Macaca mulatta: one gene and its partner. The protein of the gene in region 2 purifies or fractionates together with the protein of the main gene of each other region. This does not show direct contact. Links are inferred from orthologs where the notes say so. Each region holds a gene or a part of one and is shown on either strand. Other genes may lie near its edges.

Region 1 (6,650 bases), on a different chromosome or scaffold from region 2:
GCCATGGTGGGCGGATCACCTGAGGTCAGGAGTTTGAGACCAGACTGGCCAACATGGTGAAACCCGGTCTCTACTAAAAATACAAAAATTAGCTGGGCATGGTGACAGGAGCCTGTAATCCCAGCTACCTGAGAGGCGGAGGCAGGCGAATCGCTTGAACCTGGGAGGCAGAGGTTGCAGTGAGCCAAGATTGTGCCATTGCCCTCCAACCTGGGTGACAGAGCAAGACTCCATCTCAAAAAAAATAAATAAATAAAATAAATAAATAAATAAAGCATTTCTCAGTGACAAAAACGAGATATAATCAGATATTAAGTACCTTATGATAAACAATTTCACTGGTGAAGTAGTCTTGCAAAAAGAGAAAAGAACACAAACCTAATTAAGCTTTTGGTTCTACCTACCAATTTATAGGAGATATACGGGACAGGAAACATGTTAAAGGACGCCATAGGGATGCAGTCTGCAAAATTCAAACTTTGGGAAGCTGACCTTACTTCAACAAATTGTAGTAATAAAAATGGAGATTTAAATTAAACTTTAGGCTGGGTGTGGTGGCTCACCCCTGTAATCCCAGCACTTTGAGAGGCTGAGGCAGGTGGATCACTTGAGATCAGGAGTTTGAGACCAGCCTGGCCAAGATGGTGAAACCCCATCTCTACTAAAAATACAAAAGAAAAAAAAAAGCTGGGTGCCTATAATCCCAGCTACTCAGGAGGCTGAGGCAGGAGAATTGCCTGAACTTGGGAGGAGGAGGTTGCAGTGAGCCAGGATTGTGCCACTGCACTCCAGCCTGGGCGACAGAGTGAGTGACACTCCACCTCCAAAAATAAATAAATAAATAAATAAACTTTTAAAGGATTAAAAGAAAGAGAGGCACATTGACAAATTATATGGGTCTTATTTGGATCCTGACTCGATGAGAAATTGGACCACTGAATGGAATTATTATTATTATTTTTTTGAGACAGGGTCTTACTCTGTCGCCCAGGCTGGAGTGCAGTGGTGTGATCTTGGCTCACTGCAACTTTCACCTCCCGGGCTCAAGGGATTCACTTGCCTCAGCTTCCAGAGTAGGTGGGACTACAGGCATGCGCCATCACGCCCGGCTAACTTTTTGTATTTTTAGTAGAGACGGGGTTTTGCCATGTTGCCCAGGTCTTAAACTCCTGAGCTAAGGCAGTCGGCCTGCCTCGGCCTCCCAAAGTGCTAGGATTACAGGCATGAGCCACTACGCCCAGCCGATATTTAATATGAAGGAATTGCTGTCTTTTTTTGTTTGTTTGTTAAGTATGATAATGGTATTGTGGTTAGGTTGGGAGGAAAAAGCTTCTTGTGTTGTCCCTGAGATACATACTGAAACATTTTCGAATGGAATATGTCTGAGTTTTGCTTCAAAATGATCTGCGAAGAGGGGGAGTAAGTTGGAATATAGATTAAATAAGATCAAACATGATATATGAATTGTTGAAAATGGATAATGGAGACTTGGGTGTTCCTCTATTTTTGTATGTGTTTAGACGTTTCTATTATAAAGTTTAAAAGTTTTTGGAGTGGACATCTATCACTATAGACAATCTAAATTAAATGCATCACACTGTTTACTACAGAGTTGTCATCTAAGTGAAGATGAAGTGTTCTTTATTTTTTTTGAGACAGTCTCACTCTGTTGCCCAGGCTAGAGTGCAGTGGCACGATCTCAGCTCACTGCAGCCTCCGCCTCCCAGGTTCAAGCAGTTCTCCTGCCTCAGCCTCCCGAGTAGCTGGGATTACAGGTGTTAGCCACCATGCCTGGCTAATTTTTTTTTTTTTAGTAGAGACGCGATTTCGCCATGTTGGCCAGGCTGGTCTTGAACCCCGGGCCTCAAGTGATCTGCCCGCCTTGGCCTCCCAAAGTGCTGGGATTACAGGCAAGAGCCAGCGCGCCCAGCAGATGAAGTGTTCTTTATCAATCTTTAATAAACATATTCAGTGTCTTAATCAAATACCTTTTTGGTGTTTTTTTTTTTTTTTCTTTTTTCTTTTTTTTTTGGAGATACAGTCTTGCTCTGTTGCCCAGGCTGGAGTGCAGTGGCATGATCTTGGCCCACTGTAACCTCTGCTTCTCGGGTTCAAGCCATTCTCATGCCTCAGCCTCCCGAGTAGCTGGGACTACAGTTGCACATCACCACACCTGGGTAATTTTTGTGTTTTTAGTAGAGGTGGAGTTTCACCATGTTGGCCAGGCTGGTCTTGAACTCCTGACCTCAAGTGGTCCGCCTGCCTTGGCCTCCCAAAGTGTTGGGATTACAGGTGTGAGCCACTGCACCCGGCTGATGTTTTGATTAAAGTTTACATTTACCATCCTGTAGGAGTATCTTTCTTGATCAGTGGTTCTCTTCCTTGGTTACGCATGAGGAGCTTATAAAAGATCTGGATATCCTGACTCTATCTTCAGAGGGTCTGATTTAACTGGCCTGTGATAGAGCCTAGGTACCTTTTCTAGGAGGTAAATTCTTAATATACTGCCAGGGTTGAGAATCACTGCTCTAGACAACATGACAGCTATTTGAATGACACCGTTTAATGGTTAGTTAGTATTTCCTTGAAGTATTGTATTTTACTGTATATACAGCGCTAATTGCATGTCTTAATAAGGTCTTGCTGAGCATGTAGTTCTATGCATACAACTGAGGTATGTATTTTCCTTTTCAGTAAGAGTTTGCTGCCTCTTTTGCCACTATTTTTTCAGAAGAGTTAAACTGGTGTAATTGTGAATAAAATAGGGCCAATCATTAGAAGTATTCAGTTTAATGAAATTGGAGCAGGCCCATTTTAAATTTTTCTGTTCAGGACCCATTTTGCTCCTGAGAACATGAGGCATGAGAAGTTACTTTGATAATAATGAGGTTTGTAAAAGTAATGAGAAGGCACTAAATAAATCATTGGTTTATTAAAATGAAATGTAATTGAAACTCTGCAAGGACCTTGGAGTAAAAAAACTGTAATTGGGAAGTTGATCTGGTGAAATCCTAACTTGCTGTGAGTAACTAACTGTCCTGAAATTTTTAGGCTGTCACCCTTGACCCAAACTTTCTGGATGCTTATATCAATTTAGGAAATGTCTTGAAAGAGGCACGCATTTTTGACAGGTGAGAGAATGTTCTGTTTAATAAATTTTCTTGAATCTTTGTTGTATTGACACTTGATAGTTTGGACCGAAATGATGACAATAGTCAATTGAAACACATTTGCCTTTTCTAGTACGTTGTTCCCTGCCCATGTCTGCTGTGTTGCCTTTTATTTATAGGTGTTCATTGCCTGAGTTTTTGTTGTTGGCTTTCCTCAAAGCCATTATCCTTCTCATTGGGAGTTCAGTTGAAATTTTTTAATTGTAAAATGGTTGAAGTGGTTTTTTCTTAGACTAAATTATTCCTTTGACCTGATTTAGAAAGCACAGTAAATCCTGACTTTTAACTTTTTGTTGTTGTTGTGAAAGGACAGCCTATTTTTTATGTGGGAGTACAAAATTTCTCACTGTAAAGACACATTTTATAAAGGTATGATTTTGGTTTGAGGTTAAAATATAATACAGCATGAATTATGTAATTACAAAGACTTGATATATTTTGATATAGTACAGCTTGAATGAGTTGTAACAAGCCATCCATTAAGAATGAGTTACATTTTGTGTGTGTGTGTGTGTGTTCATTTACAGAGCTGTGGCAGCTTACCTTCGTGCCCTAAGTTTGAGTCCGAATCATGCAGTGGTGCATGGCAACCTGGCTTGTGTATACTATGAGCAAGGCCTGATAGATCTGGCAATAGACACCTACAGGCGGGCTATCGAACTACAACCACATTTCCCTGATGCTTACTGCAACTTAGCCAATGCTCTCAAAGAGAAGGGCAGTGTAAGGATTTTTACTCATTCTATTTGTTATCTGGTAGGATTAAGAGTCTTTTCTGGCCAGGTGTGGCGGCTCACACTTGTAATGCCAGCACTTTGGGAGGCTGAGATGGGAGGATTGCTTGAGCCTAGGGTTTCGAGACCAGCCTAGGCAACATGACGAAACCCTGTCTCTACAAGAAATACAAAAATTAACTGGGCATGGTGGTGTGCACCTGTAGTCCCAGCTTCTTGGGAGGCCGAGGTGGGAGGATCGATTGAGTCCTGGGAGGTTGAAGCTGCAGTGAGCCGTGATTGTGCCACAGCACTCCAGCCTGGGCAACAGAAGACTCTGTCTCAGAAAATCACAAAAACCGAAAAACAGCAAAAAATGAAAGTCTTTTGTACAAGTATTGAGATGGTATATTGGTTTACTTTAGAGTTTTGGTTGAGGGTAAGAATACCAAAAAATATCAATTTTCTGTAGCATTACCAGCCATTAGGCTTAATTAAGCAATTATTAGAATAGTATCAGTGGAGGCTTTATGATTCTCTACAGTTTTTGAAGACTTTGTTTTGTTTTCTAGGTTGCCGAAGCAGAAGATTGTTATAATACAGCTCTCCGTCTGTGTCCCACCCATGCAGACTCTCTGAATAACCTAGCCAATATCAAACGAGAACAGGGAAACATTGAAGAGGCAGTTCGCTTGTATCGTAAAGCATTAGAAGTATGTGAGGGTGGCGTAGCTGGGTATTTAGCGTGATAGTAGAGGGAAAGCAGTTAAGTTTACCATCATCCACCTCTTTTGTAAAAATAGTGGTTGAATCATTTACAAGAGGATTATTCATTGAAATAGTAATTGAGTACCTAAGGTATGATGTGAGGCCCTATGTGACATTCCAGAAAATCCCTGCATTCAGAGTTCATTATTCTGTGGATAAGATCTGTACAAAACAATTAAACATTAACCCACAGTTCAAGAGAAGTTACTGATAAGTATATAATCTTAGTGCCTGATGGCTGTATGGTAGTGGTTAGTAGATACGGTAGGAGTTTAGCAGAGAGAGATCTCAGTGGTGTTGGAGTCAGGTGGTCAGGATAAACTAAGAGCAGAAGAGGTGTACCTCATTATGTTTGAAACAAGAAGAGGTATAAAATAGAGGAAGAGGTAGAATTTGAGAATGAATAGACTTGGAAAAGGTAGAGACAAGTTTAGGGATGTAAACGTACTTGAGCAAAGTTCTTAAGGTTGTGGTGAATTATTACTGCTGCTTTAGCAGATTTTTTAACCTCAGTTATGATCTTGACTCTTTATAGGTCTTCCCAGAGTTTGCTGCTGCTCATTCAAATTTAGCAAGTGTACTGCAGCAGCAGGGAAAACTGCAGGAAGCTCTGATGCATTATAAGGAGGCTATTCGGTAAGAGACACTAACAGCCTTATTTTTAAAATTATTCTTAATTTTAAAATGTTTGACATTTGGCACATTGCAGATGCTAAAATGGCTTTAAATAACAACAGAATAAGTTAGCATTACAGTGGGTTAAAGATTTTTGTATTGGAGAAATAAAACCTTGGGCTTCTCTTTTAGAATCAGTCCTACCTTTGCTGATGCCTACTCTAATATGGGAAACACTCTAAAGGAGATGCAGGATGTTCAGGGAGCCTTGCAGTGTTATACGCGTGCCATCCAAATTAATCCTGCCTTTGCAGATGCGCATAGCAATCTGGCTTCCATTCATAAGGTACTACTGTTTATTATAATATGTGCAATTTAACACCTAAAATTTAAGTTTTGGAAACTTTTTACCATCCTGCTTTATTTATTTTCCAGGATTCAGGGAATATTCCAGAGGCTATAGCTTCTTACCGCACGGCTCTGAAACTTAAGCCTGATTTTCCTGATGCTTATTGTAACTTGGCTCATTGCCTGCAGGTAAAGAATAAGAGGCCGGTAATTGGCTCTCAGTGTTGTAATAGCTTTTTAATTGTTATGTACCATAAGAATCCAAGCCTGACTGGAAATAGTATTTTTAATAGGCTATCTGACATTACTTTAGGCCAAAGACATACCAAATATTAAATCCTGGGATAGGGCTTTCTGGATAATAACTTCTTTTTGCTTTCTCTAGATTGTCTGTGATTGGACAGACTATGATGAACGAATGAAGAAGTTGGTCAGTATTGTGGCTGACCAGTTAGAGAAGAATAGGTTGCCTTCTGTGCATCCTCATCATAGTATGCTATATCCTCTTTCTCATGGCTTCAGGAAGGCTATTGCTGAGAGGCATGGCAACCTGTGCTTAGATAAGGTGTGATTCTTTTCTTTTAATCTTTTTGTTGTAAACTAAAACACAAATACAGAAAACTGTGCAAATCAAATCTGTGGATTAATGAATGATTATAAAATGAACACCACCCAAATTGAGAAATAAAACTTGTGAGCCACTTCAGAACCCCTTCCATTGTGTCCTGAGTATAACCCCCTGTACTTCCTAAGATGGAATCCTTAACTCCTTCACTTAAACACTAACAATAGACTGATGGTACTGTCCTTTAACTTGAAAGCCATAATTTTTTTTTCTTTTATCTTTTTTTTTCTTTTATCTTTTTTTTTTTTTTTCTTGTTTTTGAGACAGGGTCTTGCTCTGTTGCCCAGGCTGGAGTGCAGCGGTGTGATTATGGCTCACTGCAGCCTCGACCTCCCTGAGCTTAGGTGATCATCCCACCTCAGCCTCCCGAGTAGCTGGGACTACAGGCGCATGCCACCACACCTAATTTTG
Region 2 (7,212 bases):
CCCTGGCTCAAAAAATAAAATAAAGTCAATGTAATGGTTCTCAATATCCCTGGTTAGCTACAAGTTTTTCAATTTAAATTGTACTAAACACTACACTATTTATCTCTCACTTAAATAATTCATTACCACCATCACTACTGCCCTTAAAATTAAAAACATGCAGCTGAGTATGGGGGACCACACCTATAATATCAGCACTTTGGCAGGCTGAGGCAGGAGGATCACTTGAGCCCAGGAGTTTGACATCAGCCTGAGCAACATAGGGAGACTCTGTCTCTAAAAAAAAAAAAAAAAAAAAAAAAAAAAAAAAAAAAAAATTTAATTAGCTGGGAGTGGTGGCGCATGCCTGCAGTCCCAGCCACTAAGGAGGCTGAGGCAGGAGGATTGCTTGAGGGGTTGGTTGAGGTTGCCATGAGCCGCCATCATGGCAGTGCACTCCAGCTTGGGCGACAGAGCAAGATCCTGTCTCAAAAACAAAATAAAAAAGAGTAAAACATGTGAAACTGCTAACTAAATACTAGAATGCTTTTTATAACTAGCATATTTAAGTAAGACAAATTTAAGATCAACAGGGAGGCAGTCCAGTGTAGTGAACACGCATTCAAGATCAGCTGAATCGCAGCTCCATCACCTTTCCCTGGTATCCTTAGTTACTGGAGCCAGTGTATACATTCAAGTTTATTTTATCAGCCTTTTGGCATAATCTACTATTATATAATAATTATGAAGCCAGGCACAGTGGCACATGCCTGTAGTCCCAGCTACTTGGGAAGCTAGGGCAGGATGATCACTTGAGCCCAGAAGTTCAAGGCTTTAGCGCACCACAATCACACCTGTGAAGCCATTGCACTCCAGCCTGGGCAATACAGCAAAACCCATTCTAAATAAAGAAATAAAATTATAATAATAATTATTATTATGAATCTTACTATTTTGTTTAGTTTATACTAACCTTACATCAAACCATGCAGCACTTCCACATATATACACACACCCCATATCATCCCAGTATCACATACTGACATTTTGTGTTGAATATATCTATTGCTATATTATTGGTCAGGAAAACAACCCTATTTTAATAGTACTCTCTAAAACATGATAGCTCTACAATGGAGGTACCAAAAACACATGAAATAAGAGACCCTTGCTTCCTTGATGAAACTGTTCCTCAAACACTTGACATCCTAATGCGTAAGAAATAAGTTTAAGCCTTAAAACCTCTTTTCCTATTCCTTTGTATCTAAATACTAGCATTCTTATTTAGGTCAAAGTTACTTTCGTTTGTCAACTCACTAATTTTCTGATTTCATTATTCTGCAGTCTGAAATATTACAAATGTACCTTTGCCTAGTCCTTCTTTTATTTTCATCTATTTATCCTAAAAACATAAATATTTTGAACACCGAGATTTAGTTTAATTCCCTCACTTATAGGTAATAAAATAACCCTCCAAAACTAAGAACGTTTTCTAGATTTTGGCTATTAGAAAAAGAAAAACTTTAGTGTCATCATTCTCTTTCTAAAACACATTTTCACTGAGACTGGGGCTTTATGTATTTGCCAGAATCAAAGAAAAATACCAAGCTACTAATATACTGGTCCCCTCAGGAACTCTACTAATCAAAGTAGTCTTTCCATCTTTTAAATACTATTTTTCACATAGCTAGCTAGAGCATGAAATGAGCAAATATACTAACATAGGAAAAGGTAAGTAGTTGCAGACTAATTTTTCCTATTTGTCACAATCTCCCAATGACTATTTTATCAAAGGAATCATAATGCAAAAAACACTCTAAAGAGTCTAGAAACTTCTCTAATATTAGTGCTCTGAGAGGCCAAGGCAGGAGGACTGCTTGAGCCCAGGAGTTCAAGACTAGCCTAGCCTGGGCAACAGAGCAAGACCATGTCTCTACAAAATATATATATATATATATATATATTTTTTTTTTTTTTGAGACGGAGTCTTGCTCTGTCACCCAGGCTGCAGTGCAGTGGTGCGATCTCGGCTCACTGCAAGCTCCGCCTCCCGGGTTCACGCCATTCTCCTGCCTCAGCCTCCCGAGTAGCTGGGACTACAGGCACCCGCCACCTCGCCCGGCTAGTTTTTTTTTGTAATTTTTAGTAGAGACGGGGTTTCACCGTGTTAGCCAGGATGGTCTCGATCTCCTGACCTCGTGATCCGCCCATCTCGGCCTCCCAAAGTGCTGGGATTACAGGCTTGAGCCACCGCGCCCGGCCTACAAAATATTTTTAATAAAAAAAAAAAATTTAAAGATCCTAGGAACTTAAAATTAATTAGCATAAATTAGGGTCCAGGTCTGCTTACCTATAATTAAAATTCATCATGCTTCTTTTATTAACAGAAAGAGGTCTTCAGGTATCCACCAAGTAGAGAGTAAAATAGTCCTCTGTGGGGAAGCAACCTCTACACCATCAAAAAAAAGTATAGGAGTCTTATCTTTTAGAGAGAAACTTCTAGCACAGGAAGATATACCAAGATATATTGTAAGTGAAAACACCCAGAAAAGTAAAATGTGCTATTATTTCTTAACTTTTTTACATTTCCAACTAAGAGAAATAAAAATTGAAGACTCATCAACCTCCTAATGCATAAAGTTTACAAAACAAATGCGCAAAGTTTACAAACAAATGCACAAGACTGAATAAACAGTATGACCTAGATTTGAGGAAATAAATAAAAGAGACTAGATGGTAATATACCAAATGTTAGCAGATACAGACGAGGGGTGAAATAAATGTGATTTTTTTTTAATTTTCTTTTTTATAATTTTCCAAATTTCCCCACAGTAACATTACTTTCATATTTAAAAAACCTCATTAAAAAATAAACCATATGACATAAGGGTTCACTAAGAAGGGCTATGTTGTCGAAGTATTACTGGCATGATTCACCATTAAAGGGGTGAACACCTCTCACTTTCCACTATTAAAATGCTGTTTAATGCCCTATTACTTTTCTGCTGCATCCTCAACGATGGAATGAACTTCACTATCTCCTACCATTTCATTTCTGCATACAACATGCTTTTAAATTTTTCTTCTTAAAATATGGTAAAAGTTCTCACTAATCCTCAATAGTCCACTTTTTAAAACCTACCTCTACATTTCGTCATAACAGAATTAGGGGGAAAAATTGTTTTGCCCACTAATTACAACTTCATTAGGCCACCATCACTTTGGCTAGGGAAAAGTGAAGGCCGGGTAAACTACACGTCCCACCATGCATTGCTGCCTTGTTCGGAGTAGGTCTCTACGGAAACAGGAAAAAAAAAAAAAATTCTACAAGTCCCACCTGTTACTTCGTTTCTAAACACCTCCTGCACTTTCGGCTCCAACACCAAACAAAAACAAAAGCCTCGTGATCTCACGTCTGCTCCGGGAGCCAGACAAGCAGGGGGCCCGGGGTCATAGGCATGTCCGCTGTAACGGGTAAATTCTATCCAGCTCCAGCGCTCCCCTCTCCTTTCCGGGGCTGGATGCACGCACAAGCCTTCTATCTGCATCCAATGGGGGCTCTCCAGCCGCACAAGGGAGAAGAACCGGTTACCGTGCAAGCACCACAGACTTCCCCGTGACGGGGCGGGGGCTACCACAGAGCAGAGGTGATAGCGACGTGACCCCAAGAGACAGCCTCAAAACACTGAGGACTCGCCGCAGACGCCGAGAGAAGCCACGGCCCCGCAGCTATCGCGTTCCGCCGGGCGCCTCCATTCCCACAGGGATCGCAACCCCGACACTAACCGCCGCCCTCTCCGCGCGGTTTTGTGCCCCCTCAGCCGGGTCTCTGGGCCAGTGACCTCCCTTCCCCTGCGACTGGCGGACGACAAGGGAACGAAATCCTCCCGGCCTTCCCCTTCGTTCCCTCCCCCTTACCGTCTTGGCGGCCTCCGCCCAGGTCCTGCCCTTCTTCCTACGTCCCTTTTCCCTCATGTCGGGTCTTGAACTGACTGGGAGGTTCCCGTGTCCGGGCTCCGGCCGCCCTCCCTGCCTGCTCTGCCCTGCGCTGCTTTTCCCGCGGTGCCGGGAAAGGTGGGAGAAAAGGGAAGTCAGGCCGGGGGGGCACCCAAGCAGAGGAAGCGGCGGGGTGGTGCGCGGGGGGGTCTATGGGGCGGCCGGTCCTCCTGCTGCCGTTGCCACTGCTACCGCCGCTGCCATATTGGGTTCTTACTGTACAGGCTGCCGCTACGGTCATGTGACCGCTCCCGCGCGGCCGTCACTACTGTACGCAGCCGGCCGCGCGAACGAGCGCGGGCGCGCCCCCGCCTCCCAAGCCGGGCCGCTGAGCGAGCGAGCCGGCAGTCTGCGATACCTCGTCACGCCCCCACCCTTCCGGTCTCCGCCTCTCCGCAGGAGCATGCGCGCGAGGGAGGCCCCGGCAGTAGCTGGCGTCTGACGGCCGACGCTCACACCTACAGCGAGTATCTGCCTGCGGAAGCGGAACTTGTTCCATCCGGGAAAGCTTATTGAACTGATCCCGCCTCGTGCGAGGCGCTGCATGGGCTGTGTAGACCTGGGGAACTGACCTCTTACCTCAGTGGGTGACTCTGCCAACTATCACTTTAGATAAGCTCTGCGTTTGTGTTTTCTCATTTATTTGCATTTTTACAAAGGTTATCTTTTTGAAGATAGGCAACAATTCTCATCTACCTATTAACCCCATTCGATAGGCGAAGCAACTGAGATTGAGTGACTTGCCAAACTCACAAGTCTGGGATGTAGAGACACCAAATATCAAATTGCCAGCTCAGAGCCCTTTCCATCTCCCCAGAAAGCCTCAAACTTAGGTGACTGTTTTTAAGGCCCCTGGTAACTGCATCCACGCTTTTACATGTGAAGCTACTCATCAGTGACAGAAATGGTGTCGTCTTTATTTCGATGAGCTCAGTCCCTAGCATAGTGCCTGTACCTATCAGGCGCCCAGTAAATATTTGCTGAATGATTCAGACATTTCTGTGGTCAGAGACCATTATTTGTAGTATCCATAACAGCCTTCTGAAAGATCCAGAATGTGGCATCTTCTCTTACATCATCTACGCCTTGATACTTTGCAAAGTAAGAAGCATGTGGTAACACCTGCTGATCTCACCAATCCACCTGCTTCCAGAAGCTGCTTCCAAACAATCTAGTAAATTTACTATAGTGTGAAATAGGACTGAGGATTGGATTGCCTCTTGGGAGGAAAGACAGATGAGAGCACTGCTTAAAGTTTATGGATGCATTTCAGAAGTTCATGGACTCCCTAAAACTATGAACTATATTTTGTGTGTTATATGTGAATTTTTTGAGAAGAGGATTCATAACTTTTCCTCTATTTTTCAAAAAGGATCTGTTGGCCGGGCGCGGTGGCTCAAGCCTGTAATCCCAGCACTTTGGGAGGCCGAGACGGGCGGATCACAAGGTCAGGACATCGAGACCATCCTGGCTAATACGGTGAAACCCCGTCTCTACTAAAAATACAAAAAACTAGCCGGGCGAGGTGGCGGGCGCCTGTAGTCCCAGCTACTCGGGAGGCTGAGACAGGAGAATGGCGTAAACCCAGGAGGCGGAGCTTGCAGTGAGCTGAGATCTGGCCACTGCACTCCAGCCTGGGTGACACAGCGAGACTCCATCTCAAAAAAAAAAAAAAAGGATATGTTGTGCCAAAAAAAAAAAAGAAAAAGATAGGGAGTTTGAGAGGCCATCTAGAAGTATCTAGATGCTTCCTTATATTTCCCTTCAGTCATGGATCAAACAGCCAATTTCAGCAATTGATATGGATATATTTTCTGAAATGTCTTTGATAATTCATAGCCCTATCCATTACACAGGTAGCATGTACCACCTCCCTCCAAAGCTTATCTCTGTAGTCTAAGAAGGCCTTCTCGCCAAGTGTAGTGGCTCACGCCTGTAATCCCAGCATTTTGGGAGGCCAAGGCAGTCAGATCACTTGAGGCCAGGAGTTCAAGACCAGCCTGGCCAACATGGAGAAACCTCATCTCTACTAAAAATACAAAAATTAGCTGGGCACAGTGGCATGCGCCTGTAATCCCAGCTACTCGGGAGGCTGAGGCAGGAGAATCACTTGAACCTGGGGGACAGAGGTTGCAGTGATTGTGCCATTACACTGCAGCCTGAGCAATAGAGCAAGGCTCAGTCGCAAAAAAAAAAAAAGAAAGAAAGAAAAGAGAAAAGAAGGTCTTCTCCATCCCTGACTGTTGAGTTGAGTACAGCTTACCACCCAGTCCTGTTGTTTGGTCCTGGAGCCCCAACTGGTTTTCAGACCCTCCTAGGCCAGATAATCCAACTGTCCTTACTTTGGATTTCAGGAGCTCTATCCCCAGGTTTTAATTTCAAAGGTAGGGATTGTAATGTTGTGGTTCCTACTTCTTAATCTTCCACAGATACAGATAGTTTATTATTATTATACAAGTATAATTCCCCAGAAAGTATTTTGTCCCCATGTCTATTGATTGAATTTGTTATGTGTATTTGCATCTCTCTCATCATCCCCACCCTCCTTCTGGATTTCCTTAGATATTCTGTTTCTATTCTCACCCTACTCAAGCCCATCCTACAGGGAATGCCAAATCTATCTTCTTAAAACTCCACCCACTACCCTACTAAGATATCCTCCCTAGTTCTTGATTGAGTCACAGTTTCTTAGCTTTACAGATATAGTTTCTATAATCAACTTAGTTATCCTTTGATTTATCTCTGGTTACTTCCATCAGCATTTGCCACTCCCCTGAATACCCCTACCTCTACTTTTGCCTCTTCATTTAACTAATAACATTGCTTCATGTATCATGTAAAAATTATTGGCCACCAGTTGCATTCTCACCTTGCCTTCAATCCCTAAATTTACCCATAAGTTCGCGCATTCTAACCGCCGCCTCCTCCTTACCATAGCCTAATCCCTCCTTTAATGTACTGTATACAGGACACTATCCCTTCTCATCTTTCTTGGAATGTTGTTCCATTTTTTTCATTATTTTCTAGTTCTGATACCCCTCCACCTCCTTCTACAAGCATATTCGAGACACTTCCAGCTTAAAGAAGTCTCTTTACCCTACCACCCTACCTTACCAAATTACTTTTCCTGTCTTTCTTGCCCATAAATATCTTGAACGTGTGGCCAACACTCACCATCTCTACTTTCACAGCTTCCACCCACTCCTCTGCCCTACTAAGTGTAACAATGCTTTACAT

What was found.
Region 1: the proteins of ASXL2 (region 2) and OGT purify together in Homo sapiens (affinity purification with mass spectrometry; 3 studies listed by BioGRID and IntAct, with this or other methods). This does not show direct contact. The link is inferred for Macaca mulatta from reciprocal best matches to the Homo sapiens genes ASXL2 and OGT.

What each region holds. Positions count from the first base shown.
Region 1 is NC_133426.1:78,035,521-78,042,170, forward strand, and holds part of OGT (UDP-N-acetylglucosamine--peptide N-acetylglucosaminyltransferase 110 kDa subunit), read left to right. Parts: intron 1-3,051; coding exon 3,052-3,131; intron 3,132-3,697; coding exon 3,698-3,893; intron 3,894-4,455; coding exon 4,456-4,596; intron 4,597-5,186; coding exon 5,187-5,287; intron 5,288-5,458; coding exon 5,459-5,612; intron 5,613-5,701; coding exon 5,702-5,803; intron 5,804-5,999; coding exon 6,000-6,179; intron 6,180-6,650. UniProt on the Homo sapiens protein: Catalyzes the transfer of a single N-acetylglucosamine from UDP-GlcNAc to a serine or threonine residue in cytoplasmic and nuclear proteins resulting in their modification with a beta-linked N-acetylglucosamine (O-GlcNAc).
Region 2 is NC_133418.1:99,117,408-99,124,619, reverse strand, and holds the start of ASXL2 (putative Polycomb group protein ASXL2), read right to left. Parts: upstream 4,196-7,212; 5' UTR 3,955-4,195; coding exon 3,898-3,954; intron 1-3,897.